2 linked regions of the Caenorhabditis elegans genome follow. The protein of the gene in region 1 interacts with the protein of each later gene in a pairwise test. Each region holds a gene or a part of one and is shown on either strand. Other genes may lie near its edges.

Region 1 (4,639 bases):
TATTTTATGTGACGGAATTCATCGCGCTGACGACATCAACAAATCATATCCTGACTGGAGCAATATCGAGCTCTGAAAAAGAAAATTAAAATTTTTTTTCTTTAAGCCACCGAAAATAGCTATAAAACTAAAAATGACGTTTGACTGCGCAGAGAATTGAAAAGTACAATATTGAATTCAATAAATATACATGAAAAAGAGTAAAAACTGCGAAAAGATCACGAAAATTGAACAAGAACGACAGAAAAACCAAGTTTATTGGGAAAAACTAACATTAGCTATATCCTCGTAAATCGACACAGCGGGTCTCGCCGCGATTTGCCGCCAACAACGTCACCAACTACGGTATGTGTGGATGTCGAGAAATGCGGAGAAATTGCGAATTTCACGTCATTTCTCGTCATTTCTCCGCACACTTGCATTGCAAAAAAATTGTCGAGAAATGACGAGAAATTCACTTGCATCATCCCATTAGAAACACTTCCTGTAATTTTTTTTTATCAAAAGTTGAAATTTAAAAAATAGAGAACATCTGACAAAAATATATGTGTTTAAAAAAAAAGAAAAAAAAGAATACTCAATAGTAAGAAGGAAACTAGCAATTTTCATTTCACCGGAAAACGTCGTTTTTCACTGGAAGCCGAGTATTTTCCAACACGCTTAAAATTTTCTCGCCACAGTTTTTTATTATTAATATTTTGTGAGTTTCTGTAAGTGTACGGTAGAACTTGGTTGAATATATCGTGAAACCTTTTTTTGCAAAATTGTTATTATTGTGTTTTAAAAAAATTCAATTAAATTTATTATCAATGCTCCAAAACTCATGCCAAGAAGAGATCTGAAAACAGGTGGGTGTGTCTGTGCAAGTAAAAAATTCAAGAAAGGACAAGCTGGTTGGAAAGAAAAATACAAAAAAGTCGATGGTCTAACAGAATAACCAGAACGAGATTGATCGGGAATTCGATTGAGAAGAAAGCAAGATTGTGTGATGGTAGATGGGATGATTGGTTGAGATTTCAATATTACCAACTGGCTGAGTATTATTTATGAATTTTTATCAGCATTGTCCATTTGTTGTTGGTATTGAGCTGCGGCCATCTGGAAAGAGAGTATTTAAAATTGAAACTGTAAAGACTAATAGTACTCACCAATTGTGGATTATATACCGATAAATCAAAGGGTGGCATTCCCATATGCAATGTGTCTTGTCCGGGAATATTCATAGGATTGTAGGGATTTAATAGGCCAGCAGCGGCTGCAGCACCAGGAAGCATTCCGTATGGATTTCCAGCCATACCTCCTAATGTTACATGAGCATTCTTTTTGGCAGCATACATACTGGCTTCCTCTTGAGCTTTTGCCATATTTTTCTTGTAGCGAATTCGTTTATTTCCAAACCAATTGGAAACCTGAAAGTGAACATTTTGAAAAAAAAGTTTAAGGTGTGACAATGTTTTTAAAAAATTATTTTCTAAACATTTTCATTATCATTTTCGACTGCCACAAAAAATATGACAAAGTTGTGAACATTCAGAATAATTCATAGTTTCATTACGTCCGAAATGAATAGAACTATTAATAGCTATTCTAAAAAATTTGAGCAAGACTTATTATATAGAGCCTTCGATAGGTACTATGCAAAAAAAACGAATAAATTTTATAATGATACCTGAGATACTGTAATATTGCACTGCCTTGCGAGATCTTCTTTTGCTTCTTCTGATGGGTATGGATTTGAGAGGTGTCCATAGAAATATTCATTAAGCACTTCTGTCGCTTGTTTCGAAAAGTTTCGCCGTTTACGGCGGGCATCAAGGAACCTGCTTCTGAGGATCATGACGGCCTCACATGTGGATTGTTTGAGTTGAACTTGAATTCCATTGAATTTTCGTTGGATTATATAAACCATTCGTTCGATTTCCTTATGTGCTATTGGGCGAACTTGTGATTGATCCTTCAGCAGAGACCTCACGTGTTGCGTGAATTCGTTACAAGCCTGAAAAAATATTTTTAGTTTTTATTCGGACCTTTTTTTTCGCGAACACTCACAAAAAAAACTAAATTTCAATTAAACAATGTTGAGTCAGATCTGAGTTTTTGCTTTTGAAAATAGCGTACCTCCTCATACTTTCTCAGCTCTTCATTGTACAAAACTCGAATCTGGTGAAGCTTTTGTCTATAATCAGCCTGATCACCTCCACTTGCATCACTTCCTAATGAACCTCCTTTATCTGGTCCTGCAACGCCTTCCGCCACTAACATATTATCAAGTCGCATTAATTGAGGATCTTCTGGAGTTTCGTCCACTTGATTACGAACTGTCAGTACTGTTTTTTCTTTTGTTTCACAGAGAACATCGAATAGGGCTTGACGCATGGGATGACATTGTAGCTCTTGTTTTCTGAAAGAAATAAAATTTTAGGTTTTGGAAAATATACTGTGGAGATGTTCTCAAAAATTTTATCATTTTTGAATATTTTCACAAACTATTACTAAAATTGAAAACAACTTTCTAGATCTCCAAAAATTATGGCTCGTCTTCTGAATTTCTTTCAAAAACCAAATCTCAAAAACTAAAAACAAAAAACTCACTTTGCACTGTCATTATCATCCAAAGTTTGCTCATTTATTTTCAAGACGGCGTCTAAAAGCTCGCTGAGATTGGCTGGGTGTGTCCCCACCATTTTCTGAAATTAATAATTAGATTCTAAAAAAAAGTTAAAAATTTGAATTAAAAACTGAAAGTTTTGAAGGAGAAATTTAGAAACAAAGAAGAGGAAATGACCTTGAATTAGTAGGTGTTCGGAAGATCTGGTGTGAATTTTCCCAAAAATACATTGCCTCATGTGGTAGGATCGAAATTTCAAAGAAAGTCAGATTTGAAGATAGTTTATTATGATAAACATTTGATAAGTGAAAACTGAATAGTAAAATAACTTTTGATTAAAAAAATAGAATTCAAAATCTTATTTCGACATTTTAGTATAGCCATAATGTATGGAATAGACATAGATTCTATTATACCACGAATATTTGGGCAGGCCGTAATGGAGCCAAAATTGTGCGTAAAATAAGATGTGTTAGGTCGGTGGTTGCACAATTTCTAGCGCTTCCCATTATTGTAGTAAGGTTATTTTTGTTTGAGCAAATGTGTAGATAGGTATACTCTTGCCAACCTAGTGTCAGTTCACTCACTATAAAAAGTATACTATCCTACCATAATCTGACAGGATCCATCAGGATCTGTCACTTGATATTAACTTTTACATCAAACGGTTCTTGTCGAAAAACAAAGGGATCAATAACTCAAAACAACACCCTTCCGCAAAAACGGAATAAAAACGTCTCGAAAAAAGATGGATATACACGAAAACGACGTTGGGGGGAGACGTCGAACGAAGACAAGTTGACATTTGACGTGCGTCGCGTGTCAGCGTAGCGGTTCCTTCGAAACAACAGAGAAAGACCCTCTTCATTTACTCGAAGAGACCTAGAGACATCAGGAGATGACCTTTGCTATGTGTGTTTGTAGCAGTGGAAGGAAGGAAAGGCCAGATGTTGTGAGGACGTATCATCTGCCAGAAGAACTATTAGACATTGAACAATTGAAGGGAGACGCAGGGATTTTGCGCTTTGAATCCGCATTTATTGCGATTGTAATGGATCCTTCCCTCGACCACACAGCCAGCCGATGGAAATGACCGTTGTTGTTACGGCTTTGGGTCAACTCAACCATATTGTTATTATTATTTTTTTTTTAAAGTGAGAAGCGGGGAATGATTGATGAGTTGAAGAAATACATAGTGGTCTAGAATTTGAATCAGAAAATATACAGTAAATTAAGTGCTAAATCGAGTATCTTCCACTCAGTTACGGAAAGGCCCATCTGCGTGCCTACCGTGGGTGTAACTCGTTTTGAATACCGAGTAACGGCCTAACGACAAATTAGACGTAGACGGCCCAAAGGAAGGTATTTATGTTTCTACACTGAAGACCGAAAGTAAGCTTCTCAGTAATGTTTTCATACTATTGTCAGATTCCTATCTTATGCGTGAGCTATTTGATGGTACCTAGATAAGGGTAGATTTATGCATTTACGGTTACCCTATTTTTTTGCGAAGGAGTTGAAAAGGTTACGATCATCAAGTTAAAGGAAATCTGCCAAACCCTCAGCTGCATCGAATGCGTAGGAATGTAGGCATATCTCCATGACTATGTTTACATAGCTAGATTTATAAATAAATCGATTTACGAAATTCTTAGCTTAAGAAATATTTAACACCTAACTAGGAAATAAAATAAGCTTCAGGGTATTACTGAGTACTGCTTGTATCTCCACTTTTCCAGATATTTCAATTTTTTATGAAAGTTTGACCGTTCTTATCGCAGCCTTGAAAATAAGTGTAAAAAATCCCAAAACAGTTCATATTTATTTAGGAAATTTTTAATTCTGTATTTATTGGAAGAAAGTATAATTTGTTCTACATGTAGAACATCCCATTTGATGGTTATGATATATGTTTAAACGAAATCTGTGGGAAATCAAGCATGTTGTAAAATATTTATTAGCGCCCGTATCATACAGAAAAGTGAATTGATGATGATGGTAACAGGGTATTTTATCACAGAGTAAAAGAGA
Region 2 (5,107 bases), on another chromosome or scaffold:
TTAATATAAGTACTTATATTTTGAAATATTCACTGGTGTTATTTTAACGATTTGCAAAAGTCGATAGTATTCCACCTCACTACCTCACTTTGAAAAGTTATATCACGGTTCAATTAGAAGATATAAATAAATAGTCAACTACAAAATTATAGAAAAAGAAATAATACGGATTTTGCCAGTTGACAATTTTTATATAGGATGAACGAAAACTGAGATATAAGCTGTCAAAGTTGGACGATGGGGTGCAACTGTTAGTCTTGCAGACCGTAGCTTCAATTTGGCAGCTCATTGTAATTTTCAGTTAAAACAAAAAGTTCTAAGCTGACAAAATATTTGTTTTTTCTAGAACTATAGTTTTAAAGTATTATATTCACTGATTTTCTAGAGATGAGCAGAGATACGACTTTTCGAGGTATTTGGGGTCAAGTTTTTCTATATTCTGAAGCTTGGGAAACTATATTGTAACTAACCAGCGCTTAAAACAAGGCGAACACCTAAAAATTGCAATTTTGAGATCTAGAAAGCGGGAAAAAAGCGACAGCGACGGCGCGGTGGGGGGCGCAATGGCTGATTGGAAACCCAAGAATGAGCTCGAGCCACCACCCAACACAACGATAAATTATAGAGGAGAAAAGGAAAAAGGGATGGCGCTCTTTCTGGTATCATGTCAAAGTCAGAAGAAGCAGAGGGGAAACGGAATGAAGGAGAAGAAGAAGAAGAAGTACCCTCTGCGCCATCGTCGTTGCCGACACACGGGGCCTTGCTGAATAAGATGAACGATGGTCGTGTCGGGATCGAAAACTCTTTCCACAACGGGGTGTCAGTCAGTCAGTCTGTCACACACACGATGATGGTCAGAGCTTGTCGCCCGCCCCTTCTTCTTCTTCTCTCGTTGATCGATTGATTAGTGTGCCGATTTGATGGGCCGGCGGTGGCGGCGTGTGTTCTTCTCTGCCCTGCGTGTGATGTCGATGATGATGGAACGAACGTAAATAATATGACAGACAGATGAATATCGAAAATGACAACTTCTCACACACTTCAAAACGGTTGTATGTCAATCTTGTCCGATCGTTGGGGGGAGGGTTGGTGGGGTGAATGTGGGCGGGGCTCCCTCTCTCTGACTCTCCCTGGTGGGGGAAAAATACGAGAAACCACCGAAAGAGAGAGAAACGGGCAACCGGGGGGCAGATCGACTCGCTTGCCTTCTCCTCTCTCTCTCAGTCTATTTTCCCCTGTTAGCCCCCCTCGAGAGAAGGAGTGAGTGAGAGAGAGAGCGATGCGCCGGGGCCCCGCCCTATTGCGCCAATAGGCACTCAATTCGGTACAGTAGACCCCGGGTGTGAGAGGAGGGTGAGAAGGCAAATTTGGAGAGGAGTAGAAGAAGTCAAACACGAAGAAAACGACGACGACGACGACGACGAAAAAATACATGCATTGCATTTTCCTCTTTTTTTTGTTTTAGCGAGACGAGGCAAAAAGTCAAGTGTGGGGGACCTCAGGTTTTCCAGCTAACACAAATTTACATTTTCTACCAAGTAGTACCCGATTCTTGGCAGCCAAATTCCATGTCGCCTATCAATTTTCCAATTTTCCACCCTCGATAAGAAACACATGATTAATGTGATTAAAAGAGATAAATCGGTCGGTGGGGGGGGGGGGGGGGGGGGGGGGAGCGATGATGAGACGAAGAAGAATGAGGAGAGAAAAGATAAAAGCGGCGGACAATTTGTGTGAAAATTATCAGGATTTTGTTATTGCTTTTATGCTGTTGATATTGATAATCGGATCATCGGCTGTTAAATTGCATATTATATCGTGGATGTGTGGAACTAGCTCTATGAACTTTAACTGGTAGGTTGTAAACCCAAAAAATATGTTCTTAGATTTTTATGGTAGTTGTTGAAGGTGGAGTAGCGCCAATGGGGAAATTGTTAAAAACCACTCCTATGGTCCCAAAATGACCGAATATCGTAATAAAACATCATCAAACAAACACATCAAACAAAAACATCAAAACAATCAAAAATTTTCTTAAATTTTTTTATTTGCGGTCAAAAAGTGACAATTACTCAGTTTTTGTTACTCATAATTTTGGAAGTCGACCAAAAAAAGTTTTTTCCTACATTTTTTACACTTTAAGCTTATTTTAATTATTCGTGTTGAAACATTGTAGGGGGCGAAACATGCGACATTGCTTTGGATTTCCTCGAAAGCTCATATTTTTCAAAAATTTGGCAATTTGGCAAAAGTTTGAACGGAAATTATGAAAAAGCTAAAATTTTGTGGGGTGTTTTATTATAATATTCGGTCGTTTTGGATCATTATAAGTGTATTTAGACAAAATTCCCACTGGCGCTATTCCACCTTTAATATACTTTTTTCATAATAAATTCTGAATTTTTAGTGGATTTCCGAATTTGAAATTTGTTTTCCTATGTCAAATGAAAAAAAATCTGTTGAATTTAGCTCCTGTGGCGAGACCAACTCAGAAAAAAAAACAATGTGTGCCTTTAATGTGATGTTTCAAATTTTTGCGAAATATTACAATATTTTTTCCCGGTTTCTTGAAATTTATATTTCAATGAAAAACCAATTTCGAAACTCTAAAATTTTTACAATTTTGATTTTATAGATTTTATCAATTTTCTGAAAGCATTTTATCGTAACAGAACTGAAAAATTACAGTTCATTTTGAACATTTTTTTCATTTTTTTTTCCGAAATTCCAAAAGTTTTGAAGTTTCAGACAATACAAAACCCTTCAAAGCTCGATTTATAAAATTATTTTTAATTCTAAAAATTGATTTTTGAATTTCTTAAACTACAATGTGAAGATCCTAAAGAATTTTTTAATCGGCAAAAATTTTTTCAATTTTCAGAAATCAATTTAATTAGGAAATTTAGTCGCAAATTAAAACAACAACCAATTCTTAAATTTTACCTCATTGTGATCCCGCTTCTCTCGTTTGATGCTCGACGTGTCCAAATCGTACGTCGAAATTCCATTTTGAACAGCCCAAGTGTCAGCGGACGCGTGAGCCCACACTTTTGAGTCGCCGCTCATGTTCCTGCAAGAGAGAAATATTAAATTTTGAAAAAGAAAACGTGAAACTCATTATCATTTATCAAAAGAGTCTGTGCGTGAGCAACAGCAGATGGGTCCTCGTGGCCCGAAAGCACAAAAAGCACACCAAAAAAAAAGGGATGGATTCGAAAAAAAAAATAATAAATAGGCTCCGCAAGAGATGAACCAGGAGGGCAAATTCAAGTTTACATGCTGCTGTCCTGTGTCCAATGTCCTCCGCATTGAAGATAAATTGCTTTTGTTCGTTTTTGCCCCCACTAGGTGCACAAAGCTGTTCTCATTATATTTTTGAAATTCGAACAAAAAAAATGTAAGTGCTAAGGAAAAATAAAGTGGAAAGAATGAAGATTGGAACTAGTTTCTTTTTATTTGATAAGGTTTATGTAATGTACGGTATGAGACTGAAAAAAAAGTTTCATTATACCGCCAGTTTCACCGGAAGTTTTTTGTCATGTGAATGAGCATGAGCTGAGGAAATGTGACTAGTTTGGAAATTAAAAAAAAATCTAAAAGTGAGTTCGGTTTCTGAAAGAAATTTGCTCCACCGAAAATGTGAGAAACTATTTTGACGGCCTATATCTCTGTTGCTTTTGATTGGATCAAAAAATGTTTAACTGGTAAAATATAGAAAAACATTTTGCGCATATTTTGTCAGTTAAAATTTTTCTGATAAAATCAAAGAGAGCTGAGATAGAAGCTGTTAAAGTGGAGCAAGACGGGTGCAAGCCTACTAAGGAAATTGCGGACAATGTCCTAATTTTTCAAATTCATTATCAGGAATCAAAAAAGCTCTACCAAACCTAGTCAGCTATTTCCAAGTTTCCACAAAAAATTAATTAATTAAACAAGATCCTTCTGAAACTACACTTTCCAGATTGTCAACTAAATGTGCACCTATGAATGTAATAAAATATCGCAACCTTTCGCCTCTTCCAGAGAGCACAGTCATTTTTTGACACATTTTCCTTATCAATAATCAGAGAGTAGAGACATAGAGATGCTAACATTAAAATACAAAAGTTTCAACATTTTTTCCCTTCAATGCACCACATCCCCCGTTTCCCTCATCTACTTATACTCCAGCTGCACTTTATTAACGTCGCCTTTTGTTCTAAGGGGATTAAGATTAGGATCATATGGAAGAGGAGGGGTAGGAGGTGTCAAGTGGGATAAAGTTTCAGACTGTTTTTCTTTGTTTGGTAACATGGTAGACACGGGAAGAAGATTAACCTATAGATTTCAGATTTCCTGGAAGGTAGCGTGTGGTGCTTTTGTTGCTTGAATTGACAGAATTGAGTTGTTTCAAAAATTCTAGAGTAATAGGCTCAGCTCAAAAGATTAATCAAAGGCCTAAATTAAAGGCCAAAATTATGAGGCTAACAAATTTTTAAACCAATTTTTTACAAGCTTTCCATTTTCAATATAGCTACTGTTTCTATGCAAAAGAGCTACTGCTCTATCCGCCTTGCCTCTTTTTGCTCCACTTTGACGGCTTATAACTCGATCCCATTAGGGCTTGTAAAAAAAATTTTCAACTGACAAAATTTGTGCAAATATTTTTCTACATTTTTACAGTAAAACATTTTTTAATAAGACTAAGGACAACTTAGATATAAGTCTCTAAAATAGAGTGAATAAAAAAAAGCTAATTTAGAGGCTAACAAAATTTGATTCATTTGTACATAGTTTTGCCATTTTGTTTCCCAATCTGATCTACTTTTTCTTCTCCATAGTCATACTCAAAAACCTAGGCAGATCTTTGCTCAACGAGGCTGACGTATAAACTGATAAGCTTACGGTGTGCTCTTTGCTACGTGCGCCGAACATTATTCGAAAAAAAAAGTTATCAGTGGTTTTTTCTTCCACGCATCGTATCGCAATCGATGCTCTTGCTCCCCTGCTCTTCGCTTCTATTTCGATTCTCTCGCCTGGCTCCCCAAATACCGTACCAGGGGATGTGTATGCCTACTACAGTAACCCGTGTGTCCACCACCATCACAACCACCGACCAGCCGGCCCG

Evidence for each region.
Region 2: the proteins of ceh-20 (region 1) and unc-62 interact in binary tests that used the Caenorhabditis elegans proteins (3 or more experiments, as listed by UniProt).

The regions. Positions count from the first base shown.
Region 1 is NC_003281.10:6,977,932-6,982,570, reverse strand, and holds ceh-20 (Homeobox protein ceh-20), read right to left. Parts: upstream 2,688-4,639; 5' UTR 2,685-2,687; coding exon 2,593-2,684; intron 2,402-2,592; coding exon 2,119-2,401; intron 1,997-2,118; coding exon 1,670-1,996; intron 1,410-1,669; coding exon 1,149-1,409; intron 1,099-1,148; coding exon 1,045-1,098; 3' UTR 786-1,044; downstream 1-785. Other genes in the region: F31E3.6 (uncharacterized protein), read right to left, coding at 1-1. UniProt on the Caenorhabditis elegans protein: Transcription factor that binds to the 5'-TGATNNAT(G/T)(G/A)-3' PBC/Hox lineage enhancer region of sem-2 to promote cell fate specification in the postembryonic mesoderm (also known as the M lineage).
Region 2 is NC_003283.11:4,495,426-4,500,532, reverse strand, and holds the start of unc-62 (Homeobox protein unc-62), read right to left. Parts: upstream 3,071-5,107; 5' UTR 3,067-3,070; coding exon 2,944-3,066; intron 1,204-2,943; exon of another isoform or gene 738-1,203; coding exon of another isoform or gene 726-737; intron 1-725. UniProt on the Caenorhabditis elegans protein: Acts redundantly with ceh-20 and ceh-40 to perform overlapping roles during embryogenesis.